Linked DNA regions of Rattus norvegicus. The protein of the gene in region 2 purifies or fractionates together with the protein of the main gene of each other region. This does not show direct contact. Links are inferred from orthologs where the notes say so. Each region holds a gene or a part of one and is shown on either strand. Other genes may lie near its edges. The genes, in order: Paip1 and Pabpc4.

Region 1 (11,696 bases), on a different chromosome or scaffold from region 2:
AATTTAAATATGAGATCCTTATGAAGTTAAGAAAAAGATCAAGCTACAAAGTCTGGAGTTCTAAAGAATGAGATTTGACGGTTATTCATACACGAGAAAGTAAGTATCAGAATTTGGGAGGAGGCAGGATTCACAAAGGAGGTAATAAAATGGAAAAACATTAGAGGCTGTGGTCTGAGGAGGAGGAGGATAGAGAAATATCAACTCAGAAATCAAAGGGCAGCTGAGTAAGGAAAAGTGATGATCGGTGTCAGGTTCATAGGTTAAAATCTGAAAGAGAATGTTAGCTGCAGTCTTAGAAATAAAGATGATTATACACAAAGACAGAACAAAACTAGTAATATTAAATATGTAGTTCTAGTATAATTATAAGAGATTTTATTAAAGATCACAAAAGGTAACTGACATATACCATAGGACACAGCATAGTCTTTTAAACTAAACAGATTATATTGTGTTGGGGCCTAAAATAAAGGCAGGTTAAGATGACTACATATTTAAAAAACAGAGGAGTATCATTTACAGTCATAAAAATAGCATCGACATACCTAGAGGGATCAACTGCAGAGACATGCATTCACTGAGCATCACAGAGTACCGATGACAATTTTTAAGAGAAAAAAAGGCAGCAGTAACTTGAAGGAAGATACTTTTAGGAAAAAAGCTTTTTTTTGTTGCTGATGGTATAGTAAGACACTAACATTTTCATCTCTTAACAAGGGCTTGATGAGATCCTATATGGAACCTTTTACCAGTAAGTAACCTATGATTAAATATTCATGGTCATATTAATTTGTCTAAGAAGCAACCATGAAGAGATGGATACAGTAACTTGCTAAGACAATATGAAAAGGAGGAAATTCTAGCAGCAGAGTGAGAAGGAATGAAGATTAAGAGCACACATAGTTGTGAAGGAACCTAAAAGGCACAGCAGAAACCACCATAAAGGTTTTCTGTGTGCATGCATGTGTGCACATTTGTGGGTCTGTCTATGCACGGAAGGCAGAGGACAACTTGTGAGAGTTGGTTCTCTTCATCATGTGGGTCCCAGGAACTGAACTTAGGTCATCAGCTTGGCAGCAAATCACTTTACCTGCAGGGCCATCTCACTGAACCAATTATGTATAAAGAACAGACTCAAGGGATTTCTGGAAACAGGAAGATTTCTAGAAAAGAACTTCCATAAAGACAGTTTTTTTACGCTGAGATGGCTCAGTGGTTAAGAGCACTGATTGCTCTTACAGAGGTCCTGAGTTCAATTCCCAGCAACCACATGGTGGCTCACAACCCTCTGTAATGGGATTGGATGCCCTCTTCTGCTGTGTCTGAAGACAGCAACAGTGTCTTTACTCATTCACAAATCAAAAAAAAAAGTACACTCAACAACAACAAGACAGTTTTCTCTGCTTTGTACTATATGACTATTGCTGACCCAGCATAAGTATTGAACTATGTGTGGAATGTGTGAATCTAGCTTACTTTGGGACATGGCTATTATACAGAAAAGATTTCCTTATAGGAACTTATATGAAAAGTTGGGGCTAATGAGGATTCTCTTGTTCTGCACTAAATGGACTAAAAAACATTTAACCTGGACTATGAGTAAACACTCATGTGAACTAGTAAAGTTGAGAAAATGTACTGGGGCATAGCAGCAAAAGCCCAAGCACTTACCCATGAAATTCATAAGAATTACAACACAAGAGTCATTCAGGGAAGAAACTGTTAATTAATGCTCTTATGCTTCAACCAATTTTGCTTTCAGAATTCCAGTCCATTATGGACTGAACAGAAATTAGGAAATATAGACTTTTCAATATCCAATTTAAATTTTGTCAACTAATTAAAACAATCTTTAAAACAAAAGGTCAGACAGGGCCAAAGAAGCTTCTAGTCCTTAATTTGTTTTGGTACACTGAATAGAGAAATTGTTACACTAATAAATAAACGAAAGAATTCCTAAAATACAACACTGATTCAAAGGAAGTGGTGGAGGGGTAGAGAAGATGGCTTGGTGGTTAAGAGGATATAACACGGGATTGGAGGGATTGCTCAGTGGTTAAGAGTACTGGCTGCTCTTCCTGAGACTGGAGTTCAATTTCAAACATCCACATGGCGGTTCACAGTTGTCATACATAATTCCAGTTCCAGAGGACCCAGCACCTTCACACAAACATACATGCAGGTCAAACACTAATACACATACACATACGTCATTAAGGAAGGAAAAAAAAAAGGGCATGTGTAAAGACCCAGTTCCTTTCCTAGCATCCACTGGCTACTCACAACCATCTTGTAAATCCATCTCCAAAGAGATCCGATTCTTTCTCTGGTCTGCTCAGACAAATGCACTCACTTGTACATAACCACAAACAAATATACTTATAATTGAAGGGTCATTTGAATTTTATTCAGGACTTTGAAATGAAAAACAACAACAACAAACCTGTATTCCTCCCATGATAAAATAAAATAGTTCACGGCAACAGGAAGGAAAATGAACGGGTAACTGGTTTTGGCTGCTAAAAAGTAAACATTCTCAAGGAGTTTATTCAACTACTCAAGCTCTTTAATGGTTCCTTCCATTTCTGAGCCAAATACAACTTTGACAACACGCCAAGCTACTCCTATTTACTTTTCATGACAATGGCTTTCTTCACCAAATCGACTGCTCTTCCGGCCATATTCATACTGTCTCCTGTCTAATCCCAAAGCTAAAAGATGAATGGAACTTCTATTTCTACAAAATTCAGAGTTTCCACACTGATCAAACATGAGGAGAACCAAATACAGATTACAGAAGGTATGCAGTCATTAATTTTAAGAAACCATAACTACTGGGATGGCTAAACAGAAAATACCAAGTTCTGACTAGAAAGAGCAGCAAGTAGCAAATCAGACACTGTGAGGAATGTAGACTGGGAAGGTCTTAGAGACGATGGCTGATTCTATTAAGGTTGGCTACTATAATTCTTCTTTTACAAACCAAGCAGAAATAAAGGCATATATCAGTCAGGACATAGACAAGATTCAGCACAATAGCCCCAAAGTAGAAATTATCCATTGATAAAGGAACAAATGGAACCCTGATACAGTCAAGTGATGTGAATAAATTATCTCAAATTATGTTACAATATAAATTTAGATGTAGAGCTAGAACAATCTAAAAAACTTCATTTATGTAAGCTTTGAAAAAATACTTTGTATGTCAAAATGGTGAGTCAGTACTCACACCCAAACACTGGGAACAGGGCAGCAGAGGAGAGGTGAGGTGAGAGGTTATCAAGCTCAAGGATAATTAGTAATACAAATCAAAACTATCTAAAGAAAACAAAACAAAGCTCAGTGGTTACCTTTGGGCATGAGTGATAATTTTAGGGATGAATGGGGCTTATTGTATGTTGATACTTTTCTGTTTGCTTGTCAGAGTTGTCTTGAGTGGTTAACTGTGAGCTGAGCCTTGTTCATTCTATTATCCAGTAAACTGAAGAGACTGAGAGACTTCTAGCTGAGGTATTACCAATCATCTTTAATTCACCACTGTCATGCCTCCCTTCTCTAATGCTAATCTCTCTGCATTGACTATTTTGAATTTAGTAAGCACAATGAGTTTCTTCCTATACATTTTAACCATACATTATGCGTCCTACTAATATGAAAACAAGGACCAATTAAGATTTGCTGCATTATTGACAAAGATTAAAAAAGTGCAGAAAGTTCTTTATACCTATGTATAGTATACTTATGTAGATGCTTTGCCAAAATCGCTTACATATTAAGCATGGTGAAGTTATACCTGTAATCCCAGATTTGGAAGGCTGAGCAGGACAACTGCCTTGCCTGCCTCAATCAAAAACAACAACAACAACAAAATAAAGACAACAAAACCCAATCAATCAAAGATTTACAATATTTCTGTATATAACATGTAACCTGCAACAAAAAATTGTTTTAACATAATGGACAAAACTTGCTCTAGAAATAAAGAGCCGAGATGTGTTTCTCAATATTCATAAGAATATCTACAGCAAAACGCTATTTAATTTACTTCAAAGGCCACACCAAAGAATTTTCTGCAACGTGACTAAAATCAATTTAAAGGAAGCTTTCCTGACTGCTCACTGTACAGGTTATCTAGAAGGTTCAGAAGTGGATTTTAGTTTTACAAATTGAAAATGTTTGACAGTGGGCTTTTCATACCAGGTTATTTTATATATTCTTTTTAAGTACTAGGAACACAACAGTGAAACGAGCCAGCAAGAATTCCCATTCACAAGCTTACACGCCAATATCTCATACATAACTGCAAATTATATTCCTAAATCATGACTTCGCTGAGTAAGATATTTCTGTGTGTAGTACAGAAAGCAGCCAGCATACTCTAGCGAGAATAACCACTTTATTCCAATAGTTTTACACAAGAGTTGTAGGAGGTTTAAAAAAAATGTACTCACTGTATAATTAGAAGAATAACCTGATGGGTAAAATTCGGGGGCGTTCGCAGACAGCTTAGACATTAGCACAGGAGCTACAACCACCTGGGGCTTAGCCATTGCTGACTCCGAGTTCTGCTGTGGGATTTTATCCTGTGAACTAGGTGGAGCTCTCTGGGGCCTCGTTTGTTCTGAGAAAGAAAAAGGAAAAGAAAAAGCAGTGCTAGATGTATTCATTCCTTTGTATATAGCAACTTACTACAGATTTAGAAACCGTCTGAGAACTTCCGGATTTTAGGAGTTAAATACAAAACGTAAGATCGTTAAGAGTCGTACAAAAGAGCTTGCAAAATGGAACAATAGCCTTGCTTTGGTTCGTGAGTGCACATACCTGCCTGCAAATCGAAAGTTCGAGGGCTTTTCCCACCCCTTCCCTCTCTAGTAAGGAGTTGGTTAAGAAGTGTGATGCTCGCCTGGGGCCCCGGGTTCACTAGAGAGAGGTAGGCGATTCTGACTTCCTCCCGGGACGCCAGACTAAGCACCCGGCCCGGGCCCCTCCCCCAGCCGGAGCGCACAAAGGATTCCAGCCACCACCTCCTTCCAAACCCAGTTCCTGGCTAGTCCCTACCCCGTGCCGAGCGGGCCCCTCGGGGAATGCTTTCGGAGAACCGGGGGGCGGATTCGGCGCGCCGGAGCTCGGCGTGCGCGAAGGCCCGCGGGGGAAAGCTGGCCCAGGAGCACCGGGGCCCCTCGAGCTGCTCCGTACCTGGGAGCGCCCCAGGCCGGGGAGGCCGCGCGGAGCCGGCGGGGGCCTCACTCTGGGCCCCTGGCGGCGGGGCGGTCCTGGGCTGGCGCAGCGGCGGCGGCTGCAGGAAGCCCGGGGCTTTGGGCTGCGGCGGTGGCTGGTGCTGCGACCGCTCCGCAGGCCCCGCTCCGTTCGGGAACCCGCCGCCCTCAGGCCCGCCCCCTCCGCGGCCCAGGCCCCGGCTCCGGCCCCGACCAGCACCTGGAGCCCGATCGAAACTGTCCGACATGCTCCTTGCTCTCCAACGGGGCCGCCGCCGCTGCTCCGAATAGGACGCGCGGGAGGCGCCGCGGGCCGCCTGTCACCGCTGTGCCTCACTCAGGCCTCATGGAGGAGGCCGGCGGGCCCTGCTCGGTCCTCCGCGCTCCGGGCCCCCGCCGACGCGCCGCAGCACAGCGCCCGCCTCCCCAGCTCCCTTCGGCTGGCGGACGCTCTCCCTTAAGCCCCACTTCCCCCTCCCGCCCACTTGCCCGCCCGCGGCGCAGTGGGGCCGAGACGGGTCACAGCGGCCCCCCGCGGCCCGGAGGCCCGGGGCGCGGCTGCCCTCCCGCCGGCTGGCGACGGTCGCTCGCGTTCGCGGATGGCTGGCTGGCTGGCTGGCTGGCTGGCGGGCTGGCGGGCCGGCGGGCGGGCGGGCGGGCAGGCAGGCTGGCTGGCGGGCGGGCAGCCGCGGCTTCACCCGGCCGCTTGGACGAGCGACGTCCGGGCCAGGAGGCGGCTCCGCTGACGGACGCGTTCGGCGGTCTAGGCTCCCGGGGTCGGGCTGAGGGATAGTTCGGGGGACGCTTACCGGGCGACTCCGACCTCCCCGCTGGTTCCTCTGGTGAAAAGTGCGAGACTGACGGTTGGTGCCAGGAAAATAATCCGGGGGGAGGGGGCGTGGGCGCAGCGCCAGGGTTCGCCGACGCGCACCTCAGTGGGCGCGCAGGTGTGTTCAGCGATAGCGCTCCGGCCGAACCCCGAGGCCTGGCGGCGAAGGGGGCCCGGGACGCAGCCCTCCCTCTGCCCGGTTGTCTGCGGAGAAAGGGAGTGCAAACAGAACGCAACCGCGCCCGCCTTCCAGTTCCCACTAGGTGTTATCACACACACTAGGTCACGTCCACCAAGCCTCTTCCGCTGCCCTTGTGTCTTCCCTCCAGGAACTTCTTAGAAAAATTACACTACCTTCCATTGCACGTCTGCTTCTTCCCTCTTGCATCTTCCACACTCGCTGTCCAATAAAGTTCATGAGCAAAAATTGCAAACCACTTAATTGTCAATGTGCAGAAGCCGCCTTAAAGAAAAGGCAGGTGAAATTAATTTTAATATCCTTACTCCTATATGCTCAGATGGTATCGTTGTAACCTGTAATTAATGTTAAATGTGAATAGCATAGCCTCTCTCTTTGAAAATTAGTTGAAGGCTAATGTGTATTTTACACTCAAAGCATTTCTCATTGGGAATCAGGCACATTTAGAATGTTCCAGAGCTACGTGTAGTTACTGGCTGCAGTATTGCACAACACAATTCCAGTAATTATCTGTAAATTGTTTTTGTCAGGGCTGATGGTGCTAATGCCAAGTGGAAGGTGAATGTAAATAATGAAAAAGGAAAAAATAGATGCCCTTACTGTTGCATTGAGCCATCTCCAGAATTCTGAGTTTAACTCTGTGATTTAAGGAGGGCTTAATGGTTTTCCAAGTTTTATCTACAGTATCATTTCAAATAGAACCAAAATGTCCATATTAACCATTTTTATTAACCATGTGAAACACTCCTTCAAGTAAATCAACAAGAAAATATGGGTTTTATTGAGGCAAGCATCAGTAGATGATTTGTGCTCTTGATTAATATTGTACAAGATTTCCGTTTAAAAGTGGATAGAGACGATGCTGTTGGCATTCTAAAATGTCTCTGACTATGGGCAGCAGTCATTTATTTTTGTTTGACATTTAAAAAAATTTCTCAAGGTAATTATTAATTATTTGGGAATTTCATGCAGTGCACCCCGATCCAACTTGATTTCCATTCTTCTCATGCCCATCCTCCACTCTTGTACCCTCACCAAAGATAAGACAAAGAAAAAAAAAGTTCAATTGGTGTGGCTCAGATACTCACTGAAGCATGGCCAAAGCCCTGGTGGCCAGCCCCTTAAAGGTAAAGGAGTCCTTCCCACCTCCCACCAAACCCCCATATTCTCACCTTCATCCACCTCCACCTCCACTAGAAGCCAGATCATTTCTTGAGACTGAAGCCTGTAGTTCAGGTCGGCTTCAATGGAGCTGAGGCCAACTTTGAACAGGCTCCACCTGCCTCCTCCTCCCAGGTGTGGTGATTTCGAGCATCAGCGCCTGGCTCAGCGGTTACATCTTGCTTGACCTTCTTTCCTACGCAGAAAGGACCCAAAACTGTTAAAAATCTGGAAGTGAGATAGCATATCCTCAGTGTTCTTACTGATGCAGTTGTACCGCATCTGTGGCAGGCTTTTGGTGACTGCCCTTTTGTTTTCTTCTAACACTTTTTTGTTTTGTTTTGGTTTTGGTGGGGGGCTTGTGGGGAAGGTACTAAAATTGAACACAGGGCCTTGTGGATGCTAAGCTTGTCCCTGCAATTGATCTACCGGATCTCCGGTTAAAGGTTTCACAGTGGATAATCACCTTTTCTAACATGGAGACTTTACTGGGTAAATATCCATGCTGATACCAGGGAATATTTATAAGCTCCTTGAACCAGAGGAGTTAACTCAAACACCCTAGGCCACCTCCCGTTCCCTGTTGTGTAATTTTAGCTCTATGCTTGGACATATGAGAGATGGAGTAGGGACAACATGAATGGATTTAATTTGTGATTTGCAAACCAGGATTTATTGCAAACCAGCAGTGAATGATAATTATTATTAATCTGTATCTGCCTCAGTTTTATTTATATAAGTTCTCATATCCTGTGGGGCATATGCCAGGATTATTAGAGAAACTCAGATCCTTCTAGGGACTGTTGTAATGCTGGACTTCTGGGTACTACAGTAAAAGGCCACTTTAGGACATATAAGAGCCATGAAGGGCTCACTGAAGATCACTAGAAAAGCTCTTCTTCTCCATTTGTGCATTGCTTATTGATTGGTGGCAAAAAGGGTTTGCCGGATTCCATTCAGAGAAGATGGGAAGTGTGGTGTACACTATCAGAAAGAGGACATGCCACTAACTAGGACAAAGAGTTTCCTCTAAGTTATCTTAGATGGTGCTCTTCAGGAATACTTCCTTAAGCTGCCTAGATTTTCCCTTGACATGGTTGTGCTCTGAGAGGATACCGTCATGGTACCTTGCATGTCAGATTACTAGAAAAAAATTTTAAACTATTTCTCTACTGAAATTACCCTTTGAAGGCAGGTGGTGCCTTATTGGTACTTCTAGGTCAGCGGTTCTCAACCTTTGGTTCAAACCTCTTTGAGGTCAAATGCACAGAGATTGCATATAAGATATCCTGCATATCATATATTTACATTGCATTTGCATTATAATTCATAACAATAGCAAAATTACAGTTATGAAGTAGCAACAAAATAATTTTATGGTTAGGGGGTCAGCACAATATGAGGGAGGGTTTTTTTTGGTTTTTTGTTTGTTTGTTTTTGATTGGTTTGGTTTTTCAAGATAAGGTTTCTCTGTATAGTCCAGGCTGTCCTGGAACTTACTCTGTAGACCAAGCTGGCTTCGAACTCAGAGATCTGTCTGCCTCTGCCCCCTGAGTTCTAGAATTAAAGGTGTGTACCACCACATCTGGGTGGCATGAGGAACTATGCTAAAGGGTGGAAGCATTAGGGAAGTTGAGAAGCACTGTTGTAGGTTCTAACCCAGTTCTTGGTCCACACAGTCTTCAAACTGTAACTATTAATTTACAGTAGACTCCCCACACCAAAAGTCACCGTTACAGTGACAGTAATGAAGACTGTTTCCAGTGCTGGCTCCCACTGCCTCAGAGAACCTGTCAAGGCCAGCTAATGAGAACATTTTCATAACTACGAAGGAGGAAATATTTGCATGGCCCATATCCGACAAAAGACATGTAAGCAGAAAATAGGAAGAATTGTCATAAGCCAACTAAAAAAAAAAATCCAGTTAGAGAATGGAAATATCACATTAATAGAAGAGACTATACAGAGAGCACTTACGTTCATGAAAACTTCTCAATTAACCACTAGTTACTGCAAATTAAAACTAACGACGTTTCATTACCCACTTACCAAAAAAGGGCAAAATCCAAGAACAAAAACCAATCCTCCCCAAAAAAGGCAAAATGCAAAAACAAAAACCAATCTTCCCAATAGTTTACACTCCTATTTCAAAGGGGAAATCAGGCTATGTGTGGCAGGATCAATCAGTATTCCTGTAAGTAGAACTTGAGAGAGCTATTTTGAAGCCAATGTGATGGAGACCCCAGGAAGCAGGAGATGCCAAGAATATAGAATGTCTGCTGAGAAAACCAGCAGGAAAGAAGCATAGCCAGATCTATCTCCCCACCCCCACAAGAAAAATAATGCAAGATGGAACTGATGGCTAACTGGTTAAAGGTGCTTCCTACTCGTGCACGAGAATGGGAAGATTGGACTGCAGCACTGAGGGACATGGAGACAGAAGGGTTCTGGGGCTTGCTAGTTGCTGGCCTGAACAAAGAAATCATGAGCTCTAGGTTCACAGAGAGATCCTACCTTAAAGGAAATGATGGGATACTCATTGCCTTTGCCCTCCCGAGTGGGATAAGTGCAGTCAAACTGCCCGCCTTCTGCCTCCCCTAGCTGCCCTGCCCAATGTTGGAGCAGAGGTGGGCCAACAACCCTACACACATGCACATCTCTGTCTCTGTCTCTTTGCCTCTGTCTGTCTGTCTGTCTGTCTGTCTGCCTCTCTCTCTCTCTCTCTCTCTCTCTCTCTCTCTCTCTCACACACACACACACACACACACACACAAAACTTACTTTACACACATTATCTTCCTTACACAAACAAATGCCATGTGGACTATAGGGTCAAGAAGACCCTGAGAGCTTACGTCATGCCAGACATGGACCTATGAGACTCAGTATTTACCCTCCAGGACTTGGCTTTTACTTGGCCCTGTTTTCTATTCTCCAGCTCTATTATTTATCCAATGGGGATATTTACTCCGTACCATTTTATACTGGATTAAAGTGATCTTTATTTTGTAAGGAGATTCGGCTAAAGATTCGTCTTGAGCCTCAGAGACTTTAAATTTGGATTTTTGGACAATGTTGGAACTGATGAGACTTTGGGGACTCTTAGAAACAAGTGTAAAACATTTTGCATTGGTCTGGTAATCAGCTTCTGGAGGGGAAACAGGAATGCAATCTGTACAGTATCACCACACGCGCTCACACACATGCTCACACACCTTGGTGAAGCCTTGGCCCCCAGCAGGAGGGAACTATTTTGGGAGATAATGGAACTTAGAAGATGAGGCTTAGCCAGAAGAATTAGGTCATTTGAGGATAGGACTTTGGGGTCCATCTTGCTGTTGATCCTTCCTGGACTCCCCCTTTTGCTTCCTGTTTGACACAAGCTGACTAGTTTTTCCCTGGCATCTTTCCTCCATAATATTTCTGACTTGGGGGGTTGGGGATTTAACTCAGTGGGTTCGGTCCTCAGCTCCGAAAAAAATTTTTTTTTCTGACTTGATGAGGGTCTTAAAGCAATGAAGCCAGCAGGCCATGAATTCCAATAATTCAGAAATGGAGCCAAAAGAACTCTTCCCTATTTAAATTGTTTCTCAGGTAATTTGTCATTGAGGTAGAACGTTTTCCTAACCCAATAAACCTTGCTGTATCTTACTACATTATTCCTGGGTAAATCAATCCACCCTTCTCTACTCAAACCACCCCAGCAACCTGAATGCCACAATCAAAGAATGGAGGAATCATTAAGGAAGAGAAGAAGAATTAGCTGATGTGTTTGTCCTCATGGGTCTCATTTGTGTAAATTATCTTCCTCTCCTGGTCTCTTGGGCCCTTGGTAACCTCAGCCAGTTAGCACTGTAGAGTTCTGGATCAGGGAAGCATCTCCTCTGGACAAGAATGCTGCCTGAGATCTCTCCAGGATCTACCGGTATTGTTTAATGTGACCTCTTGACTCCATTATAAACTCCCTAGGAGCTACTCATATGCATATGAGATGGAGAGTATATAATGGATAGATCTTAGGAAGCTACAGACCTATTTGGTATTGGTTATAGAAATTCATATAGAACAATATGGTGGCTACAATGTGGTGGCATAGTTCATGGGGGGTGCATTCAGTGAATTCCCAATGAGGAATGGCCAGACTGTACAGTGTGCATTAGCAAAAGGTTAACTTCCAGATAAGGATAACTTCCAGGATTCTGGATTGGTGCCCCAACCAAAACTGGAATACCAGACAGGTTCAGGAACACGGGGACTTTTATTCCATGGACGTTCTGTTTGACATCTG
Region 2 (10,417 bases):
GTGACAGACACTGCCTACAAGGCCATGCACAGGGCCCTGGCTGAGTCAATGATGGTCAGCCTACCCATGGACTAGGAAAAGACAAGGAAGCCAAGACCTGATGTTGATTGAATTCCAGAAGTTGCTACATAAATGAAAAAAAAGTTTGAAAAGAATATTTAAAAATATTTAAAAAAAAAAAAAAAGGAAAGAAAGAAAACAAAACCCAAGGATTTACCAGGATCAGTTATTGTGGTTTGCATGGTTAAGACACCCCAGCTAACAGCACTGTTTTGGGAGGTGGGAGAATCTTTAGCTTATGAGGATTCAGCCATACGGAGTCACTAGGGGTGGCCTTTGAGGTAATGGCTGCCCCTGGTTCTGTCAATCAGATGCGCCTGCACTGTTAACATACCTTCCCTGCAGTGAGAAACAGAGACCCCTCCCTCCCCAGTCACTCCTGTCCAGGACTTTGTTTCAGTGATGGAAAACAGGCAGGTCTACCACGAGCTGGAGGGAGAAGCAATTTCATGTAGAATTCTTGGCATGGTTTTCAACCTTTAGAACTTTCAAGTGTGTGGACAGACGTTTTGCCTCCGTCTATCTGCATACCACCTGTGTTACTGGTGCCACAGGTTAGAAAGTATTAGACACCCTAGAAGTGAAATCACAGAACATGTGACCCACCGTGTGGGTGCTGGGAATTAAACCCAGGTCCCAGGTGCAACGAGTGCTCTGAACCCCTGGGCCAGCTCTCTAGCCCGGTTTTACCAGCGGATGGAAGTTAGCCTTTAAAAAAATAAATGAAAAGGTGGGGCAGTAATAGCACATGCCTCTAATCTCAGCACCCAGGATCTGTGAGTTCAAGGCTAGCCTGATCTACAGAGTGAGTTCCAGGACAGCCAGGGCAAGCGGGTGAGATGCTCTCAATATCAATAACAAAATTAAAAGCCAAACATAATGACGTAGGCCTTGTGGTCTCAGCATTCAGACAGTCTGAGACAGGAGAATCTCAAGTTCCAGGTTACAACAGTGAGACTCTGGGAGGGAAAAGACAATCTCAAAAATGAAGCCCGATTACTTTGCCTTGACCAAGTGATGGCAGATATTTCAGAGTCCACTCCATGCACTTCCTCAAACGACACAAACTGTGCCACTTCTGTGGTGTCCGTGGTGTTCCCGTCAGAGCATGCCGTCTTAGACACAATCAGGAGGGAGTTACCTGCCTGCTTGAGCTCACAGTTTAAGCCACACACACAGCCTGTTTCCTTACAAAAACAGGATAGGGGTGGGAAAGATGGCTCAGTGGTTAAGAGCACTGACTGCTCTTCCAGAGGTCCTGAGTTCAATTCCCAGCAACCACATGGTGGCTCACAACCATCTGTAATGGGATCTGATGCCCTCTTCTGGTGTGTCTGAAGTGTACCGATATATAATAAATATATAATAAATAAATCTTTAAAAGAATAACAAAAACAGGGGCTGGGGATTTAGCTCAGTGGTAGAGCGCTTACCTAGGAAGCGCAAGGCCCTGGGTTCGGTCCCCAGCTCTGAAAAAAAGAACCAAAAAAAAAAAAAAAAAAAAAAAGAATAACAAAAACAAAACAACAAAACAAAAAAACCCAGGACAATGGAAACCTGGGAAACAGCTTCAAATGAAGGGGATCAGAGATGCAGCAAAATGGTGTGCCTATGCTGGTGAACCCTCAGCTAGGAAAGAAAACCCACTAAAGTCGGAACATACATGTCTCGGAGGATTATGCCTGTACTAAATTTTGTACTTGTTCTCAGGAAATATATTAAAATCAGGCTTCATTGCCCACACCTTTGATCCTAGAACTCAGGAAGAGGCAGAGAGTTTGAAGCCAGCCAGGGTGACTCAGTGAAAGTAACAATAAAATTTAAAAATTAAATTTAAAAATTCTCAACTAGTGCTGAGTGAGTCTTAACTCCTTTATGGACATGTATGTATGCAGGTATATACACAAGTGTATACAAAAATCAGATTTCACATATGTACAGACAGGAAACTATACGCCTAAGAGTTCAATGTCAGCACGGCAAAACGACAAGAAAATGCTGGCCAGGGAGACAAGAATATTCAACTGTTCTCTGGGGAAGCTCAGTAGTTAGAGCAGCTGCTACACAGACTGAAGAAAGATCTCAGTGCTGAGCTTACAGGAGTCAGTGACAAGCACCCAAAACTGCTGGGGGCTGTAGGCAGGCAGAAGGCCGCCAATCTCAGGTTCAGAGACTCTGCTAGACTCAACTGCCCACTGCTGGGTTTGAAGACCTTTGGGCCACGTGTGAGTGGCATGAGCCTTGGAAGTTGGGAAAAGAAACAAATGCTACCCTTGGAGGCTACAGGTCAGACAGTCCTACAAGTGCAACTTCTTCCTCAGGAAAACCTGCTTTGTAGAAGTGCAACCGAACCCTGACCACCTTTACAAAGCACCCCACCCAACACATCCCTGCTTTCCAACAGCTTGTAGCCTGTGTGTACTATTGGACTGACAGAGGTCAATCAAGGGCCAGGTGACTCTACCAACCCCCATCTTTAAGCTTTAACTCTATGTACACACCAGTGAAGGTGCCCAAGGGCAGGACTCAGATCCTCTGGAGTTAAGGTGGTTTCGATGTGTCCAGAAATATTAGAGCTGTTTTATTACACATTAAGACTAGCAACTTAGCTACAGCCTCAGGGCAGAGGACCTGAGGCAGGAGTCAGAATCTTCAACTGCCCCTTACTCCAGCCTCCAGCTCCTACAGTCTTTGGACCCATGAATATCCACATACACTTGAAAAGGCCTCCAGTTGGGGGTTGGGGATTTAGCTCAGTGGTAGAGCGCTTGCCTAGGAAGTGCAAGGTCCTGGGTTTGCGCCCCAGCTCCGGAAAAAAGAAAAAAGAAAAAAAAAAAGACTCCAGTTTGGGTTTTTGGACCAGTTACTTAAAGAGAGAACTCTTAAGGGAACCTACCCATAGCCTGGAGGCAGGCTTGGCTGTTAAGACAGAATTATCAGAGGATTTCTGAGCATTTTCCCAGAGCTGAAGCCTTGTTGCACTTGCTGACGTGAGCAGGTAACTCCAGGAGACAAACTTTACTCCAGGAAGAGAGTGGAGGCTTTGACTAGGGATCCCTAGGGTTTGCAGCAATCCCGAGGGGCCTAGACTTTGCTGGTCTGAGCATTCTACATTCAAGTATACTGTCATGGTATGCAGAGCATTCTGATGGCTCAATTCAGCTCATTTTTTCAGGCTTGGGCTGAGCTGACTTCAAACTGGGTCTCACTATCCTGTAGCTCCTACTGACTCCAGCTAGGACCATAGGTGTCAGCCATGAGCTCAGGGCCTGGCACATGCCAGGCAAGCTCCACCCCAGTGACACATTAACTTACTGCATGCTTGCTTACCCAATCCTCCTAAAAAGGAAAAAGTAAATTCATTTAATACTAACAGTAGTTCTAGCAAAAAAGCCCAAGATATAGAATAAAACTGATTGGCAACACATAAAAACAGCCAGACTTGGAGATTTTATTTCCTTTATTGAGAAACTTAAGTCTTGGGTACATCAAAACCAATTTCTGGGAGAGGGGAAAAAAAACAGAACTCATAATAGAAAAAAAAGTTACCATCATCTGGGCCACAACAGAACCCAGAGAATATATTCTTATAATTGAAAAATTCTAGGTGCTTCATAATTGACCTTTTGATACAAAATGACCTGTTGAATTTGTAACTTGGTTCTTGAAAGAGGTCCACAGACAAACTAGGAAGTCTTCAGACCTCAGCTGAATGCCGTGAGGGGTTATTTGGCTTTTGACTCCTGAAAGAGAGCAGCACCAACACAAATAAGCAGCCCGCTATAAGAACTCCATCAGCATCAGCTGCCCCATCCCGCCCTGACTTCAACTGTCCATCACCTCTCAGGTACCAGTCCTACAAGACCAATATCCCTCTGCACACTGCTCTCCCAGCTTGGCAGGACACAATCTCACCCACCTCAGGCCAAGCTAGCAAGGTATAAGATATGCATAGATGCAGGTAGGTCTTATGATGTGACTGCCACTATGTCAGGCCAGGAGATTATTCATTTCTATGTGGTGGCCAAGCATGTGATCAGGTGCTTCTAGGTTGCTCAGACTGAGCAGCTGGGTACTAGGGCTCTGCCTCCCCAACGTGGACAGCTGGGATTACAGACATAGTCATGGACGTAGCCCCCCAGCATCCTGGAGGCTGAGTGAATCATCCTGGGGCATAGGCTAAGTAAGGCCCTATGTGAAACACCAGAGAGGCAGAAAATGTCAACTGTCAACATACTTCTGGTTTAAGAGGTAGCAGCAGCAACAGTGCCCACCTTCTGGGCAGCTTCTTTCTTGGCATGATGAGCCTGCAGGACTGCCACAGCTTCATCCACCTGTGGAAGACGCCCAGATGTTCAGAGACTGAGGGGAGCCACCCCAGGTGCTCAGTGACCCACTTGTCTCTCCTGGCACACAGACGTGGTCAATGAGTAGAAGATCCCCCAGGCGGGCTCCTCCTGGTGCTATCTCTTCAACAACTTTAGCAGTAGCTCAAATCAGACATGGGTGGCCATGGGGGCCACAGACCTTTCTCTCTGGACGGCCCCCAAGCTCATTCCCTGAAGCTAAACCGTGATGTCACAGGGTCTTGAAAGGCAGCTCACCTTGGAACGGAGGGACTCGGGGGACTCCAGCATGTGGAGCAGCTCAGAGTTGTCGATTTCTAGCAGCATCCCTGTAATTTTTCCAGCCAGGTTTGAATGCATTGTTTGGATAAGTGGGAACAAACGCTCCCCTGTGGGCAGAACAGTTGCCATCATAAAAGTGTCCAATCCCAGTGAGCACCAACTGACTGACATTTTCCCAAGCATGGAACTTACCCAGCATCTGCTTCTGCTCCTGGGGAGGAGCTGCAGCCAGCATGGAGGCAGTCAGGGGTTCTTGACCCTGGACATGGACTGCAGGCTGGGGGGCCTGTGAACCAGGAGAGGCAGTGGGGTTAGCACTAAGGAAGACTATGTGAAAGGGAGCGGAGGTGGCAGTCCTGTGCTCAAAGACAAAGCTGGCTAGCTGTGTACTGTAAGCTATTGGAAGGGGAAGATGCTGACCAACAAACCTGCCTCACAACACAAGGCCCTGCAGTCAAAACCAGGCCCCGGGAGACATAATTTGTGATTTTCATGTAGTCTTGGCTGGCCTTGATCCCCTTGCTGCCAAGGGCCAAGGGCTGGGATTACACGTGCGTACTTCACAGTATTTATGCACTTCTCTTCAATGCCTCCCTTACGTTATTGTCAGTACATACAGAGGCAGGAGCCAAAGAGTGAGAATCAAAACATTCCTAACCATACTTCATTATCCCCCGGTACAGGATGTTTGGGTTTTCTGTGTACCCTCTCCGAACCCAGGCTGGCCTCAGTAGGTGCTGACCTTTAACTCCTAATCCTTTTGTCTCTACTGACCCAGCACCTGGATTCTGGGATATGCTAATAATACCCTGGTAAATTCAACCTTTTCTTTTACAGGACTGGGGCTTGGTCTAGGTGTTTTTAATATATTAGCAATTATTTGAGGATCATTAATATATGCAACAGTGTTGCTAGAACCATAAAAAGGTGTTACAGGTGAATTAGCACCAAGTTCCAAGAAACCCCCACTGGAGAGAATGATGAGAAGGGAGACTATTATTAAGAATAATTCAAAGCAGCTTCTACTCCTGAAGTTGTCTGGGCAGGTGAGGCCCAGTCATAGCAAACTGCCACCAAGTTCTGAAAGTGGCTATGCTTTAGGTCACAGCTTAGGCACCTTAACCTCTGAATATTCTGGGAAGCTTTCTGTTGGGTGTTCTGTATATGTGTTTGACGATGTAGGGGAGGTCAACCCTGGGGCCTGGTTCCTCAGGCATCACCACCACTTTCTTAAGGAAGTCATCTCCCTCCCTGGTCTGGAATCTGCCCAGTAGGCCAGGCCAGGTTGGCCTCAGGGATTCCTGTTTAGATTTCTCACCTTGTCCAGCCTTTTCTGTGTTATGTGTGTATATGTGGCATGTGCACAGACGTAGGCCAGAGAACTGTCAGGTGTCTTCTCTAAGACTCGGTCTCTCGTGGAACCTAGAGCTCACTCTGGCTCTCCTGGCCAGCCTGCAGATCCAAGAACCATCATCTCTCTCTGGCCCCACAATGCCAACTCTTACATGTGTGCTTGGGACCTGAACTACTCAGGTCTCCATGCTTACACAGCACACTGTCCACTTCCCCACCCCTTTTCATATGGGTTCAGGGGATCCAAGTCTGAGCTTGCGCCTTTAACGGGCTGCCCACTGAGCTGTCAGTCCCTAGCCTGAAGAAAAGCTAGAGGTTACCAACTGCCTGTAAAACAGCCAAGGATCAATTAGGTCACCAGATGTGAAGGTAACCCAGAGGCAAGAGCTGAGCGTGCACAGGTGTCGTAAGAACCTGTTAACACTTAAGAGGAATCAAAAAACATGGCATCTTTAAAATGGAGCAGAAATAGGACAAATCCCTTCACAGTTCACAGCTCTGTTGTGCCTCACCTGCAGCGGCTGAATGGCAGGGTGAGGGCTGCGGACATTGGAGGCATACTTGTATGGAGCCACAGCCCTGGGAGCAGCAGCAGCGACTGTAGCACGAGGTGCAAGGTTTGGCACAGCCGTAGGGACGCCTTGTGGAGAGAACAAGTGTAATTAAAGCGCATCAGCCTGGGCAAAGGCCCGTCAAAATCCCAGCTTTCCCCCTTCTGTGTGCACCCAATACCACCTCCAGACTGGCAGCTGTCAGTCAGCCCTTGCTGGGCGGCACCAGCCCCACCAAAGTCCATAGCCAAGCGGTCCGGGCACTCAGACCCTACAACAGACCAGCAAATGCACATCAGTGTTGACAGCAGATGCCCAACTGGCCACGTCCCATGGAAGAACTCCAGCACATGACCACACATGTCCCTCACAGGGCCAAAGGACACCACAGACGTCTTTGCACATTTAGAATGAGAGTCTCCTCGTCCCTCCACCCTCAACAGCGTGGTGCCTGTATATCCATCCAGACAGAGTACTTCTGGGTGACCGTTCACATGACACCCGCTGAGCAGACAGTGTTCAGAGTGACCAACACACCAGGACCCACAGTCACTGCTCGTGAAGGCAGAAGCAACTACCTAAGCACACAGCTAAGGATGCAGGAAAAACGAGACCCAGACTGACCAAGCCAGGGCAGATCAGAGCCAGTCATCTGGATCCCCCCTCCCCGGCCATGCGCCTACAGGCCAGTTTGCTCACCGACTCTCTGAGCGGTAGTAGGAAGGCCACGAGAGGCCGGAGCATTACCAGTTGGAGCCAGATGCCGAAGAGCTGGACGAGGCCCAGATTGCCGCAGGGCACTTGGCATTCCTTGGAAGCCTGAAGAGACAAGGGCACTCAGCACGGACCAGCCAGGATGGACCAGGTGCTGGGTTGCAGGAGAAGCCGGTGAACTACTGGACAGGCATAGCCCGAGGAACAAGGCTCTGCTTCCTGCTACCTACCTTGAGGTCTCCCGCCTTGCTGCCAGCGTGGATTAGGCCTCATTTGCGCTAATTGATTAGGTGTGTAATATGGAGGTCTTCCCTGGGCCTGTAGGGGAAAAGAATCCAAGTCTTAAGAACCTGCACCCACTGCCCTCACCCGGACACTGGGTCAATATTTGGGTGATTAACTTAGTATTCTACTCAAAAGTGGAAGGACTGTCAATGGACAGTTATTCCACCTCATTGGCGATGTAACCACAGGTTAATTCATCTCTCTTACTTCAACACTAGTCCCCAAACACCCCTCCCTCAGCTGCCGAGATTGCCTAGCAGATCTACCTGTGGCACTGCCGGCACAAAGTAGCCACCAGCTGCAGGCTGGAACTGATTTAAGATGGCGTTGGCAGGGAGCGCTCTCATTCCTGCCACACGCTGCATATACTGGTTAGTCAGGTGAGCCTTCCGCTCCTCCTTCCTCTGGGCCAGGGCGACGTACAGAGGCTTGGAGCCCACAATGCGTCCGTTCATCTCCGTGACCGCTTTGGTTGCCTCTTCAGGAGAGGAGAAACAGACAAAGCCAAACCCTTTGCTTCTCCCGTCTTCCAGCATCACCTACGGAAAGAGACTGGATGTCACTGGGAGGCAGGACAGGAAAACAGAGTCTAATCAGTCTTACCAGCCCCTCTGAGCCCTGGTTCCCACACTCTAAGACAACTAACTCTGAATACATCACAGTCTCTGCAGAGCCAGCCTCTAACGTCTTTCTCTTTACTGAAGGGGTTACTGCTTTCCTGTGCCTTGTGTGTTGGCCTCTTTAATCCTCCAAGGTCAGTGTGTTACTAGGTCAACAGTCTTCTACCCATGGAACAGTGCCCTGTCATCTGCCTGGTCTTTAAAGGTATATGGCTTTGCAGAGGCATACACCAACAGGGCCAGTTAAGTGGGTGACACCAAGAAGAACCAGGAAATGTTTGCCAGGGCTATCCACCCCCCATCACAAACCTCCAGATATCTGAAGCAAGGAGGGTTCTTTTGCCAGCACCCCAAAAGGTTTAAATAAAATACCCACAGCAGAGCATAGTGGCATACACCATCTTGCCAGCCATCCAGGAGGCAAGCAGATCTGAGTTTTTGGGTCAGCCTGGTTTACATAGTGAATTCTAATCACCCAGGACTACATAGCAAGACCCTGTATGAAAATACAACCAACGAAAAACCGATACCAATACCAACACCTTACACAGAAGGCCAAACCCTACCTGGCCACCACTCAACCCTTTTCACAACTTAAAGGCCTTGTGTGGTAGCTGCTGTGTGCTCCACCAAGCAATATGCAGTGTCAGGCCACTACCTCGACCAGTGTCACTCCCCAAGTGCTAAGGTCCCGTTGCAGACCATGCCCGCATGATCTTGGCTGTCCAGCCAAACTTTCCTGTCAAAGGCCCACTAAACCTTTAAAACCTTGTTCTCAAGGGGGGAAGTGTGGCAGAGTTGTAGGGACAGGCCCCAGGACAGATGGAAACGACCCGTCTGGATTTCCTCTGCTCTACTATAGCACTGCCTGTCCCCAGACCAGCACCAAGCAAGCAGGCCTGGGAAAGATTTGAGTGCTGTGAGGAACTGGGCCAGACTCCAAGCCCCAGTGCAAGTAGACAACACATACAATCACAAACCTTCTCCAGATATCTGAAGCAAGGAGGAACATGCTAGAACATTGTACTCTGGACCACCAACACAATTAACTAACGCCATTGACCCAACGACAGAAAAAACTGTTTCCAAACCCATGCTAGCACACGTTATTACCTTCGCACTGGTGATTGATCCAAAGGGTGAGAACTCTTTCCTTAACTTCTCATCGTCAATGGTGTCATCCAAGTTCTTAATGTAGAGATTCACTCCCTGGAGAGGGGATTACTGTTAAATACATCTCTATACAGTTATTTCCCAACACACTTGGGGACCTGTCAAGTTAAAACTCTTGCCTGAAGTCAGGCAGTGGTTGGTGTATGCCTTTAATCCCGCACTTGGGAGGCAGAGACAGGTGGATCTGTGAGTTTGAGGCCAGCCTGATCTACAGAGTGAGTTCCAGGCCAGATAGGGCTACACAACAAACCCTGTCTCACCAAAAACCACCCTACCAACCAAAAACAATTCTTGCCTGTGACCCTTCTTGTACTCAGGAGGCCAAGGCAAGGGACTATTGAGTGTTTGAGGCCAGCCTAGGATACAGAGCAAGACCCTACCTTAAAAAACAAAACCTAGAGGCTCCAGAGTTGGGGCTCTAACCCGTTTTGAGGAAGGAGGGTTGCTAGAGATCTAGGTCAGCCTAATGCAATGATTTCCCCCAGGCCACCCCGAGTTATAGTAAACTCTGCCTCAAATCAGGACAAACATCCCCACCCCTGCAGGACTGACATTAGCCCACGGTGAGAAACTCCTGCCCTAGAGCCATGGATACAGCCACATCACTTTCCCATACGCGCTCTGGCCAACCACTCACCCTACAGGGCTCTTTCAGCTGCTGCGCCTAAAGGGGCATCTTAGGGAAATGAACCCACACAGCCAAGAGCAGTGTGTGGACACTTTCAGAACAGAGGCCTGTATCACCGGCCCTACCCGGCAATGCTTTGGCAGGTGCCAGCCTTTAAACCCGACTTTGCAGGGGAATGCCCCTTCCCACAGAAGTCTACAGCACCACTGGCACCACACCCTGGAGAAGGCAGCCGCCTCACCTGGTACCGACTAATCCTCTCCTGCTTCAGCTGTTCGAATTTCCGTTTTAACTCCGCCTGACGTTCTACTTTTTTCTGAGCACGGCCTACAAATATGGATTTCCCACTCATTTCTTTTCCATTCATTTCTTCCACAGCCTGAGAGAGAAGATGTACGTCTTTAA

What was found.
Region 1: the proteins of Pabpc4 (region 2) and Paip1 purify together in Homo sapiens (co-immunoprecipitation; 3 studies listed by BioGRID and IntAct, with this or other methods). This does not show direct contact. The link is inferred for Rattus norvegicus from reciprocal best matches to the Homo sapiens genes PABPC4 and PAIP1.

The regions. Positions count from the first base shown.
Region 1 is NC_086020.1:53,250,465-53,262,160, reverse strand, and holds the start of Paip1 (polyadenylate-binding protein-interacting protein 1), read right to left. Parts: upstream 5,675-11,696; 5' UTR 5,468-5,674; coding exon 5,440-5,467; coding exon of another isoform or gene 5,200-5,439; exon of another isoform or gene 5,062-5,199; intron 4,625-5,061; coding exon 4,455-4,624; intron 1-4,454. UniProt on the Homo sapiens protein: Acts as a coactivator in the regulation of translation initiation of poly(A)-containing mRNAs. Its stimulatory activity on translation is mediated via its action on PABPC1. Competes with PAIP2 for binding to PABPC1.
Region 2 is NC_086023.1:140,857,175-140,867,591, reverse strand, and holds the end of Pabpc4 (polyadenylate-binding protein 4), read right to left. Parts: intron 10,392-10,417; coding exon 10,254-10,391; intron 9,421-10,253; coding exon 9,325-9,420; intron 9,130-9,324; exon of another isoform or gene 8,997-9,129; intron 8,131-8,996; coding exon 7,858-8,130; intron 7,625-7,857; coding exon 7,537-7,624; intron 7,412-7,536; coding exon 7,340-7,411; coding exon of another isoform or gene 7,292-7,339; intron 6,864-7,291; coding exon 6,777-6,863; intron 6,682-6,776; coding exon 6,554-6,681; intron 4,975-6,553; coding exon 4,881-4,974; intron 4,796-4,880; coding exon 4,665-4,795; intron 4,395-4,664; coding exon 4,305-4,394; 3' UTR 4,298-4,304; intron 3,804-4,297; coding exon of another isoform or gene 3,786-3,803; 3' UTR 3,503-3,785; downstream 1-3,502.